2 linked regions of the Drosophila melanogaster genome follow. The protein of the gene in region 1 interacts with the protein of each later gene in a pairwise test. Each region holds a gene or a part of one and is shown in the gene's direction. Other genes may lie near its edges.

Region 1 (4,702 bases):
CCACATCCTTAACCAGTCTGAATATGCTCGTAATAAAAGTCACTCGAGTGACATTTTTGAGCTTGCGGCCATAAAGTAAAAGGCAAACAAAGCTCAGACTGCTGGAGTTCCTTTTTCAGTCGCTGTTTTTAATCGATTATTGTCGCGTTATTGTTTTTTATCCCCCATCTCTGCGATGGCAAACAAATCCTGTCTGAGTGTCGCATTGCAACAACAATGGGCATGCTGCAAAAAATGCAAATGCAGAAGTCCCAGCACAAAAGATTGTACATTGAACTTGTGCCGTATCATCATCATCTCTTCGGGGGCGGAAGTGATTTTACGGGGGGGCGAATTGAAATGTCCTCGCATGCTCCGTGACATCATATTCAATATACGCGCACATAATCCCGATAAGAGCGGGGTCTGAGATATGGTTACCTTCGTTTATCTTTCCCTGCTCCTGAGGCTTTTATTTCTACCCTACATCACGCTGTTCTCGTTGTTTTCGTCACGTTTTGCGATCGGCGATAAACCCAATGGAAAACAGCTATGTCCTGCAGCAGGTCCTTCGTCGTCGTTCTTATTTTCAGGCAAGAAATGCACGCGCCGGATGTCGTTAAAATGGCGACCGCCACTTCCGGTTGGCGGAATTCGCGGAAATATGTGAACTTACCTGGAAAGTAAACAAGAAGAAATGTGCAAATTTTCGATTAGTATGTTTATGCCGCAGGCTTAAGAAAATATTTTTTTGTGGGGAAAACACAATCACAAGATTGAGATACATAGTGTTTTAAATATAAAGAGAATGTTAAATCGAATTGTGGCTTGTTGAAATGTTCTTGCATTCAGTTCAATAGCGTTTCATAAAAGTTGGTAGCACGTGTTAAAACGATTTATTTTATTTATTTTAAATACTTTTGTTATTTCCGTCCGTAATGAACGAGTATTTGTGTTATTTAACTATACATTCAGAAATATTTTAGGCCAGTATATTGACCTATCCCAAAAAAGATTGAACTCCCGTCATCGAGTGCTAAATGGTACAAAAACTTGGTCAGTGGCACAGATTCCTCTCTTGCGCTTCCCCTTCCCATGACCACTTACTACCAGAACTTTTGTTGACCCAACAGATTAACAGCTAATGGGAGGGCACTCTTCCAGTAATTCCCGTCAACTCAGGCATTAACAATTACTTCTCGTTAAGAGAAATCATCGAAGATGAGAGTGAGAAAAAGTGTGAAGTTCTGCATATTAATAAGCCGAAAAATGAAAATGGTCAAAATATTGTGGTAAATGCCTGGCTTTCGTTCAGTACAATTCAGTTCGGAATTCCAGTTCGTCGAGGAAAGATCAGATTTTGAAAATATGGGAAATGTTGGACATTTGGCAGTCGTTTTGCAGGCAGGTGACTATCATCAGCATCATGAACTGCGGGAGCAACAGTAATGTACACGGACAGAAAATATCAGAAAATGTTGTTGTCAATTGATCAAAAACTAAGTGTTGTGTCACTTTTGAGAAAGTTTATGCATAATAAAATCTTTTTTAAGACTTAATTAAACAGTGCTATGAAAATGTGAAAAATCATAAAAAAAACACCTTTTTAAAAATCAATGATTTCTGGTTTTTCTTTGTGTGCCTTACTCATTTGCGGATTGGTCTAGTTGCACAGTTTCGAGACTAATGCATTTTCATTTCGTTGACACCAGTTTGTTTGTGGCTCGCTGCAGCAAAGCTGAAAGCGTCTGATTACAGGCCTGGTTTTGAGGACTATAATGTCGCTGCAGACAACAATCAATTGCAGCAGGAGGAGAAGGTGATGACTATGGCGATGGCGATGACTCCGGCGAAGACGAATCCGAGCCCGAGACCCGCAGTGCAAGTAAAAGTGACAAATGAAGTGGAAAGTGCCCTCAGAATGGGAACAATGATGATGCGGATGAGAAATCGGGGCGGTAAGCGGTTGCAGGCAAACTACTTTGACACACAAATGCCACTGCTGTCGTCTGGCCTAATGAGTCCCGGCCAGCTGCCAATATTGGATGAGCAGCATGGGCGGCAGGAGCAATTGGAGAGGCATTACTTGGCCCACGGGCCCAGTTCGGTTGAACAGCAATTACTCCGCCTGCAGCCGGACTACAAATTGCTGTACAGTGCCGAGCACCACACCTACTTCCACCTGCATACCCTGGTCCCGCAGGACAATGCCAACCGCCAGACAGGACCATTGAAATCCGAGAAGGAATCGCCACATCGCCGGCTATTCCAGCAGGTTGTGGGCAACACGCTGACCGCCGCCTTTGGCCTAAACGTGATGAACAAGGGGGACCAGGAACAGAACCAGCAGTTCACCAGCGAACCGGTGAATCTCTACGATGCCGCCTCGTTGCGCCGGTCTCGCTTCAGTCCCTTCAATCCCACCAGGTGAGTGCAGCCGGATGAAAGCTACCCGACCATTATCTGTGAGTTTTGAGAGCCATTTCGATAGCCAATTTCGGTTTTAAAGGCCCTACGGCCAATGGAAACTTGTTTTATTGTATACAAACGTATTGGGGTTGCACTCAAGAATTATATGATTAAGATATTTCATTCAAAGTTCAAAATAATATATCATACTTTTCAGAATCCTCATTCACGGCTGGTTGGGTAATGAAAATGCTAACATGTACAACGAGCTATTGCCAGCTTACTTTGATCTGAGAAATGGCAACTACAACATCTTCACTGTGGACTGGGGACGTGGAGCCATAGCGGACTACATAACGGCCAGCTATAGGGTCAAGCCGGTGGGTCAGGTTTTGGCCAAGTTCGTGGACTTCCTGCATCAGGAGGCGGGAATGCGTTTCGAGGATCTTCAGCTCGTCGGATTCAGCATGGGCGCACATGTGGCGGGACTGGCAGGCAAACATTTGCAGACCGGTCGCCTTCGGATGATCCGAGCTTTGGATCCGGCTCTACCCTTCTTTCGGTATGCCAAACCAAAGGAGCGGCTGACCGCCGAGGATGCCGACTATGTGGAGGTGCTGCACACCAGTGTGGGCAGCTATGGATTTGATCGACCCGTGGGTCATGTGGATTTCTATGCCAACTGGGGCAGCCAGCAACCAGGTTGCTTTTGGCATGAATGCAGCCATTGGAGGGCATTTATGCTGTTTGCCGAGAGTCTGGCAAGGGATCAGGCAACGGGCTTCTTATCCCAGGGCTGTCCAGCTGCTGAATGGCAGCAGTTGACCCGATTCCATCGCTGCCCAAAGGACACCGGAGTTATGCAGACCATGGGCGGGGATTTGGCCAACGTGTCGGCGGAGTTCTTGGCCCAAAGACAGGGTGTCTATTATTTCCAAACAAACGACCAGCCACCCTATGTTTTAGCGCAAAATGCAAGCTCGAAAAGGGCGGCACACATACAAGAGAACAAGAAATAAAGAGCGAAATGGCTGAGAGAACGTAATGAGCAAAATGCAAGTGCAGTTCGCGTTTTTATTTCTAATTAGTAAGTGCATGTGTACTATACACACTCACGTGTGTGTATTTGTGCTGTCCCATTTCTAAAAGCCGGCTGGCAAAATTAAAAAATGCTGCCATGTGTAAAATGCTTTTCATGCCAGTCGCAGGCAGTAAAAATAGCAAAAAAAAAGGGAGTAAAATTTATGAAAACATCCATGCAGGAAATAGAAGGAAGAACACAAAACCGAGTGTAGTTCAGTCTGGAAAATCAAAAAAATAGGAACCGAAAAATCTTGTCTGCCAGACAGCTCGGAAAATTAAAAATTGCATTCCCTAAAACTTGTATTAAATGTATTTTGTAACTACCACATATAATAAAATTTAACGAAAATGTAGCAAGCCATTTTTGTACTGATCAAGCTGTATCTAAGTTAAGTTTGAAGTGTTAAATAAACAAGCCTAATATAAAAGTTGCGAACAACACCAAGCTGAGTAAAAAAGCTTTGTAAAAACAATGAAAAACTTCTCGTGAGTCCCCCATTAATGTTTCAGCCTGCATGCTGGCATTATAAATTCAAAAACTTGGCTTAGCCGGCAAGTCAAGGCTTAAATGGCCAAGGTAACACGCTCCTGCAAAACATATAGCACACTTTGGGGCATTGAGACCTTGGTTCTGGCCAAATTGTCGCACGGCTGCCGCTAATGTGATTTTTACGCATCATTTGAGTGAGCAGCAGTCCATTGGCCAAAGGGCACAAAAACGTAGAAAACTTGGCAGCTGGCGATGGATGCCATAGAAAATTACGAGAACAAATATTGGCAAAAGCAAGACAAATATGGCGCACAACATTCCCTTGGGTTGATAAAACGAATGAGAGGAACCGCAAGAGTATTTATTTTGAACATTTTTGTAATATGTTAAGTGTATTTGAATTCGTTTTCCGAGAAATTGCATATATAAAATGTGCTCGCTGAAACTTCACTGACTTGACATGACTGAGAAAAAGTCTATGAAAATATTTAAATAAATTGTATAAAGCTGGCACAACTTCACAAATTGAAATGTATGTGAAAAGTTTGATGCATTTTCCAGGAGATTTCTTTCTTAACCGCATTTTTCCATTGTAAAAGACGTAAACATATTTTCAAATTATTTATCTGTACTAATTCTATATTTTCTTACCACAAAATAGTTTCTAAATAATTCATTTCAATTCAGATAACTCGGATTACTTTTAACTTAGTTGAGAATCTTTGCACTGAATTTAATATT
Region 2 (7,464 bases), on another chromosome or scaffold:
AATAGTCTGCTCGCTCAGCTACTCTGTAGATTATCACAAATGGTTTTTAATCGTAATTGTAATTGAATACAAAAGGACGTAGTTCGCCTTAAATATAAATAAAGTTTGATACTCGAAGTATTTATATGTCGGACATAATGGATTTACACCCACAACTACCTGTTTCAAATGCAAATACTCATAAAGCATTTTCGGCTCCCACACTCAACAACCGTCTATTCCATCTTTTTCATTTTGACTTTTCTGAATCAAATTTTACTCGTTTATTTACATTTAATATTCTTTTCAACATTTTTATGGAAAGGAAGCTATGTTAAGATGCGTATTAGAGATTAGGGTACCATTAAAAATAACTCATGATTATATTTTTTGATATTCTTTAGTAAATCAAATTGTTTAACTTATAAAAATAACGCGCTTATACAAGGTATGAAATTATTTAAGTATTAAGTATTAGTATTTATTTAAGTATTAAGTACACATAATTTCATAGATTTTTAAAGAGGACCATCAATAAACAAATTGCCCATCTAAGCTCAAGATATTGGCGGAGTGTTAAGAGGTGAAACTTTCGCATGGGGGAGGCCATTACATCACAAGATTGGTCGACTGGGTCTCGAGCACTTTTGCTCTATTGTTGAGCGCATTATTAAGCGCCGCTTAGCTTATGTAATTAATGTCAAGCCAAATGGCAGTGCCAAGAGCCCGAAGTGGAGAGTCTAATGAACCAGCTGCGTGTGCTGATTTATATGCGACTTTTTTAGCTGGTTTGTTTGTACACAAGTATGTTATAGGTCTGTCTATCTGTCCCTCCGTCTGTCTGACTGTTTGTTTGGCCTGGCCAAATTGTGTTTTGTCACCGTCACCATCACGGACGACGTCTCTCGATCGCGCACTTAGGCCTCGTTTATGCGCAGGCTCTGCTCGATACTCCAGTTTCTTGGGCCATGTGAATGTGACATAAGTCGCCGGGTGTACGGCCATGATATATGAATATGACAAAGCGACATGGACAACTTTATTGGCTCATGAAAAGCGCTGTCACTGCTTGACTGACATAAATCGCCGAACGGCAGAAATAGGCATTCAGCGCCACAAGAGCCAATCGATTGCTGCAAAAAAAAAAAAAAAAATTGTCCAAAAAAGTGTTTGGCCAAAATAAATCAAAAATCAATCTTTTCGAAGGGCCCCTCGACGATCATCTCTGTGCGGTGGTGTGGGCCACAGTGAAATCTAGCGCAATCGAGCGATTTGCATAGGACAGAATATGCCGAATCGATTGCATAGTTCTTATCTGATTGGAACTGTCAACCCAAGCGGATATTTCGCTTCATTCATGGGCACGGACAAAAACTCATATGGAAATTAGAGCAACAATTGGACATCGTGCAACGTTTCTAAAAATAATAACCGTGTGGAGCCTTCATTGACCAACAGACAAACACACAAGCCCACGTCAGGAATGTTAGCAAGCGAATGCACGCCACCTATCGGGCGAACTGGGCGTATCCCGACACGCTACCCCCTCACACACACACACACACACACACACACACACACACACACACACACACACACACACACACACACACACAGATTTTCGTATCTGAAGCCTTGTTCTTCACTTTCCCTTGTTGTGTTTTCACTTTGGTGACGGGTACTCATAGGCTACCAGGGTATGCCAGCCATTAAGTGATGCTCAGGATCGGTAAACATTCGATTACACATATAACCTTTAAGTATGTTATATTTAGGCAGCCCTAAATGGGACTGAACATTGAACTAAATATTGAAGCTCTATGATTATATCCTAAATATGTTAGATAAACCATCTTATATATAGTTCAGTAAATAAATATATACATGTGTTCAAGCAAACTGATTACACTGATTGGTCAACATCTGAACTAAATTTTGTATAATTCATCTCAGTAACAGGTACTCGCTGGTCTAAGCTCTCGCTCGTCGGTGCCCCACCTTATTTTGTTGCAGACCTAGAACCCTTTTAGCTTTTGGCCTATAACTACCTTAACTATGACTATGGTAAGTGTGCGCCCAACGCGCATGACCTCAGCAATTTCACTTCACTTGAAGTGCAAACGCACATGCAAACTGTGGGGCTCCAAGTGCTCCATGGGTCCGGTTGACCAGTCCAGCTCAGAACGGTCCGGTCCTGTTGCGTGCCCAGTAAATGGCAATGGTAGGGATGTGAATGGGGATTGTCGGCGGTGGTCGAGTGCCGAACTGACCCTTCACTTTAGCAGCGAATGTTTTGGGTCAGTGCTCAGTTGCGTTGAGTTCGTGACCAAAGGCGGGCGTATTTCTTATACCCAATTCATAATCATATTCATATTCGATATAAATAAATCCTCGGCTGTTGCTAAAGCAATCCACATCGATTCCCGCTCCGATCGGCATGGTTCCGCGATTGTCTGGCTCGAATTGAGAAGAAGTCATGGGCTGTGCCAGCAGCACTCCCATGGTTGCAACGGCGGGCAGCGAAATGCTGAAAGCCGCCAGCCATGTCAAACAGAAGGGCGAGGCCGTCGTGGAAGGTGTGTGTGCTTGTGCTTTAGTGTGTGTGTGTGTGTGTGTGTGTGTGTGTGTGTGTTACCAATCCGTGCTGGCCATTAGTTTAAGTGTTGGCCAGCAGATGACATTTAGGAGTGTGCGGTCGAAGGGCAGTTGCAAGCTGGCAGTCGGCGTATACTTGATATTTCGAGCGGATACTTAATTTTCGGCGAAGGACAGTCTTAGATCTAAAGTCAATTATTTGATGTTAAGGTTTCTAGAATTGCATTGGATTATTTTTAGTTGGCACTAAATGTGCTACTCATACTACTACAACTACTAGTAGTTCAACAATGATGGATGGCATTGAGCAACTACTCCTACTTCGATAAACTAAAGTCCTTGACCCCTGGCCCAAATCAATATTAAATCCATCTAATTACCGGCCACCAACAATCTAGTAAATTCCCACTTAATGCCAAAAAGAAATTCGATACATCCAGCCGCAATGTATGTAATAAATTTGGTCGTACTTCACATTATTATAATAACAAGCCACGTAATAAAGGACAATTGGCCAGCGCAATGCGTGCCGCGGAGCCTTTTTTGGCCTGATTTTTCGCCATTTGGCCGCCTTTCAGAGGGTCGCAAGTGAAAGCTGGCTCCATTGCCATCACCCGACCATATTTTTATACATTTATTTAACGCATATGAAGAAAAACGACTTGGTTGCGTGACCAGACGTCAACGAATTAGAGCAAAAACATTGACTTAAAAATATTATACTTACATGTGCACTGAGGGAAAGTACTATTATTAAATGCGGACTAAACTGTGCAAATTGGCTTCAATTATTCGAATATAATGTTTTTTTAAATGAAAATTCGACACCAATTCACGTTTCATGTCTCGTTTAAAAAATTATTAAAATTTTTTCTTTAAACTAGTCAAATGTGGTGTTATTACATTTATTATTTTCTTACTGCACATTTATATACTACTTATATATAAGCACTCCCCTGTCGGAATCGACAACTGAAAGTGCTTTCATTCCCGTGCTTTCCTTGCAGACGCCTCTGAAACACTGACCACCACTTTGGACACGGCCAAGGAGACCGTTGGCACGGCGGTGGCGGGAATTACCACTGAGCTGGGCAACGCCTTCAAGGAGGGCACTCAGGCTCTGGACGAGGCCAAGCACAAGGTAATGGAGGGTCTTCACCTGGAAGAGCCCCAGGTTTCCGAATCGAAAACAGATCCGGTAGAGGCAACGATGAGCAGTTCCCGAGCACCGACGCCCAAAATGCAGGAAGATACAGATAGCCTGAAGACCTCCACTCCAGAGCCGGAGATCGAACGGGCTCTGGCCAACGAGGAGGAGAGCCCACCGACTCCGAAACCCTCGCTGGAGGAGATGGTTCTGATAAGTGCCGAAGTCTCGCAGGCAACTGCTGCTGATGCGCCTGCAGTGGATGCACCTGCCTCGACTGCCGAGCCTTCATCAGCTACAGCAACAGAAGCAACCGAATCCTCCGCTGCCGTGGAGTAAGTAAGCCTAGAGAGCACCTGAAGCATCGCAAATCCGTAATCGCTAACCCGTAACCCCCGTAGCCCCATCGCAAATCCGTAACCTGTAGCGCCACTGCACCCTGAAGTTTTCGCGTAGTTTGTACCTGCAACGTTCGCTTATGATTCGTAGTTTCCGTCGTAGTATCCCGATATTTACATTTATTATGGCCTAATCAACATACTTTCTCCTCTCTCTTTTCTTGACTTGTATGTAAATTGTAAATAAACTTACTCTACTTCTATGTACATATCATATACCCTGCCTTTGTTTACTTGCGACCTCAGCAAATATAACTAACAAGAACATCAACAGCAAAGTCATGTGCGTAGTATTGTGGTAATATTTTAAATATATTTTATACGTTCATTAATATTTTATTCGGTTTGTCGAATAAGTGCGTAATTGCAGAACTAATGACCATAATATTAAAACCTAAAATACATTAACAATTATATCGTTTTGAGATCGTTAAAGATTTGCAAATACCACTTTTACACACACACAATCTCACTTATATACTAAAAAAAACTAAACACACCACCAAAAATTTAAAAAAAAAAATTAATACACTAAAAGACCATCCACACTTAAATTTTTATACACTGAATACTAATCCCCCAGAAGTCGTAAAGTGCGCCGCAAATTGGTCAAAACGAATAAAACGAATGATGAGGAGCATAGACCCAGCACCACCGAGTGGGAGAAATTCGCAGATCAGTTAGCCAAAAGCAAGAAGTTTAAGCCCTACGAAAGCTTCGCCCACGGTCAAAACAAGTTCTCCGTTTACCAGGATCACACCAGTCTGAGGGATAAGCCGAATCACTACGATGGTCATTTTAGCGGTGAAAACTCACAGAGTGCCTCCCAATCGGATTTGTCCAGCGGCCACATAACTCCAGCCCCCACTCGCAGAGGGCAACGGGAGTTTGCCAAATTCGTGGGTTCCGAACAGGCGGGTAGTATATCCCGGTCCAGTTCCAGGCTCTCGAATCCTGCCACTTCCAGGACCTTCGATTTCAATCCCCAACGCGAACGCATCAGTCTTTCCCTGGCCACTCGCATTGGTTCCGGTATTCAAAGATCTCCTGCCGAACGGGTTTCCGGTTGGGGTAGAGGAAGGCCGGCTCCCTTGGTGGAGGAACCTGGATACGGACGCAGAATGAGCACTGGAGTTATTCAACAACCCTTGATAGCCGGAAGAGAGAAATTTCTAGGCACTGGAAGTCGCCGGGCAGTAAAACCCATAACCCCGACAAGGGAAAAGTCTTCTAAGAAGCAGCCTTCCAGGATTATTTCTTCGCGAGAGTCATCTTATTTGGATTTCGATCCTCGCAGTCCACTAAGGATTACCAACACTTTACCAAAGGATGTAGTACGGTCCAGAGAACCATCTTTGAATGAGTTTGATTCCATTAAAGCTCAAAGGACGCCCTTAAAAGGACAAAAGCCCTTTACTAAGGCCGTAGTACCACTAAAGTCTTTGGAAACCAATCACAATCCTTTTAGGCTACACAAACCTTCAGTAAAGGAGACTGTTAAATCTAGAGAGCCATCCTACATAGAATTTGATTCTTTCAAGGAGGATAAAAGTCCTCGGAAATCACAAGCTATGGAAAAGAAAATGGTACGCTCAAGAGAGCATTCGTACCATGAATTTGATTCCTATAAAGCACAAACGAGTCCTTTTAGAACTTCTCTACCTATGCAATCAGATGAAGCCCCGAAACTACCTCAGAATCTCACCAAATCAAACAATATTCCAAAGGAGCAATTACCGCACAGAGATCGCAGTCCGAGTGAAGCAACTCAAACTTCAACAAATCAAAATCAATCCTCTGCACCTCAATCACCTAAAAAGACAGACACTCCAAAAGCTGTTGTTTCCAAATCAAAGATGTTATCACCACCGATTTCCAGGGCTTCCAGCGCTAAATCCTCAGACAGCAGCAATTTAGATGTGATAATCCGACCAATGAGCAGTCTGAATACACCTAGTATAAAGTCCTTTACTCAGTCACCGGATCAAGTTGTTATGGAAGGCTATGAAGATTGCGATTTGGAGGCTGCGCTAGCCAGACTGGAAATCTTGAGAGGATCAACGGCCACATTGCACTCCCTAAGATCCTGCAGTCCTGGCAGGCACACCTATACAGCCTCCTTACTAAGTTCTCGACGTACCTCTCCTTGGGTTATGAGAAAGAATTACGGAGGCACTCTTGGCCATAAAATAAAGCCAAAAGAATTGGTGGAGTCTCTGGAAACTCCACAGGCCACTCATAAAACCCTCGAACGCTGCGATATTTGCTACAATGAGTTTCTTATAAACTAGCTTATTCCATGACCGAGGATAATAGCAAATGTTGAGCTTGTAATTCTTTTGAAATTCTTATATATTTATTAAAATAAATTTATACACGAAATTACTGCCGTAAATAACTGAGAAGATTGCTCAAATCTACTACTTTTACTTTCATTTCGAAATATCATAAATGAAATTTTAGTTAGGTACTTAAGAAAATGTATATTTTTTATATAACATAGAATAACCACATGCCTCATTGGGTTATCTAAATAAATTCCACCTACATATTTACGCTGAAAATAAAAAATATATGTACTAATAGATTGTTTAATATTGTGCAATCTCACAAACTAAGAAGTTGTGTGCCATTGCAACGCTTTAATTACAAAATTTTTATGGCAGGCAATTTGTCTCCCGGGAGTTCAAATCAAAACCGAATCACCCTGCAGTAGGATTTGGGTTCCTCTAATTGATGACTTAATAACGAAATTGAAATGTTTATCTTGCCGTTCACTCAATTATTCTGCCACTTGTAGTTGCCTGCCTCGGCGGCAGGCGGTATGAAGTTCGATTTTACGTTTTACGGCTTCACGTTCCCCGTAGCCGTGATTCCACATGGCTTCCACATCCACATCTCCCGTCCGTGACTTAATGAACTATTAACAGCAATGATAGTAATTTGTTGCAGCAGCAGCGGTGGCGGCAGCGAATGAAATTGCTTTCGGGCAACAACGAGTTGTCTTCATGGCACTTTTTGGCAAACAAATAGACAATTCAACAAAGCGACATGCAGACAAATGGCTACAGTGGATACTACCAGCAGCAGACATATATCTGCTTGGCTTTTCGCGGGGGTGTTACCTATGTTTTCGTTTTACTCACCCCCCACCGCACTTTATGCACCTGCTTCAGCCTTTTGCCTGCAAATTGAGTTTGACACTGGCATCTATTTTGGCACGATTTTCAAATTACGTACATTGACTCGCAAAATGTTTGCTTTATGCCGCAATTAATTCCCAGGCGGAAGAAACAGTGCCCCACAGGGGTGAGCGGGTCCAAAAGTTGAAGGTCTTCGTCGGTC

What was found. The genes of interacting proteins can lie anywhere in the genome.
Region 2: the proteins of CG4582 (region 1) and CG14837 interact in a two-hybrid assay, tested with the Drosophila melanogaster proteins (one large-scale study listed by BioGRID).

What each region holds. Positions count from the first base shown.
Region 1 is NT_033777.3:25,580,172-25,584,873, reverse strand, and holds CG4582 (uncharacterized protein), read left to right. Parts: upstream 1-1,694; 5' UTR 1,695-1,909; coding exon 1,910-2,406; intron 2,407-2,605; coding exon 2,606-3,407; 3' UTR 3,408-3,651; downstream 3,652-4,702.
Region 2 is NT_037436.4:7,554,814-7,562,277, reverse strand, and holds CG14837 (uncharacterized protein), read left to right. Parts: upstream 1-2,240; 5' UTR 2,241-2,455; coding exon 2,456-2,555; intron 2,556-3,581; coding exon 3,582-4,056; intron 4,057-4,702; coding exon 4,703-6,410; 3' UTR 6,411-6,498; downstream 6,499-7,464.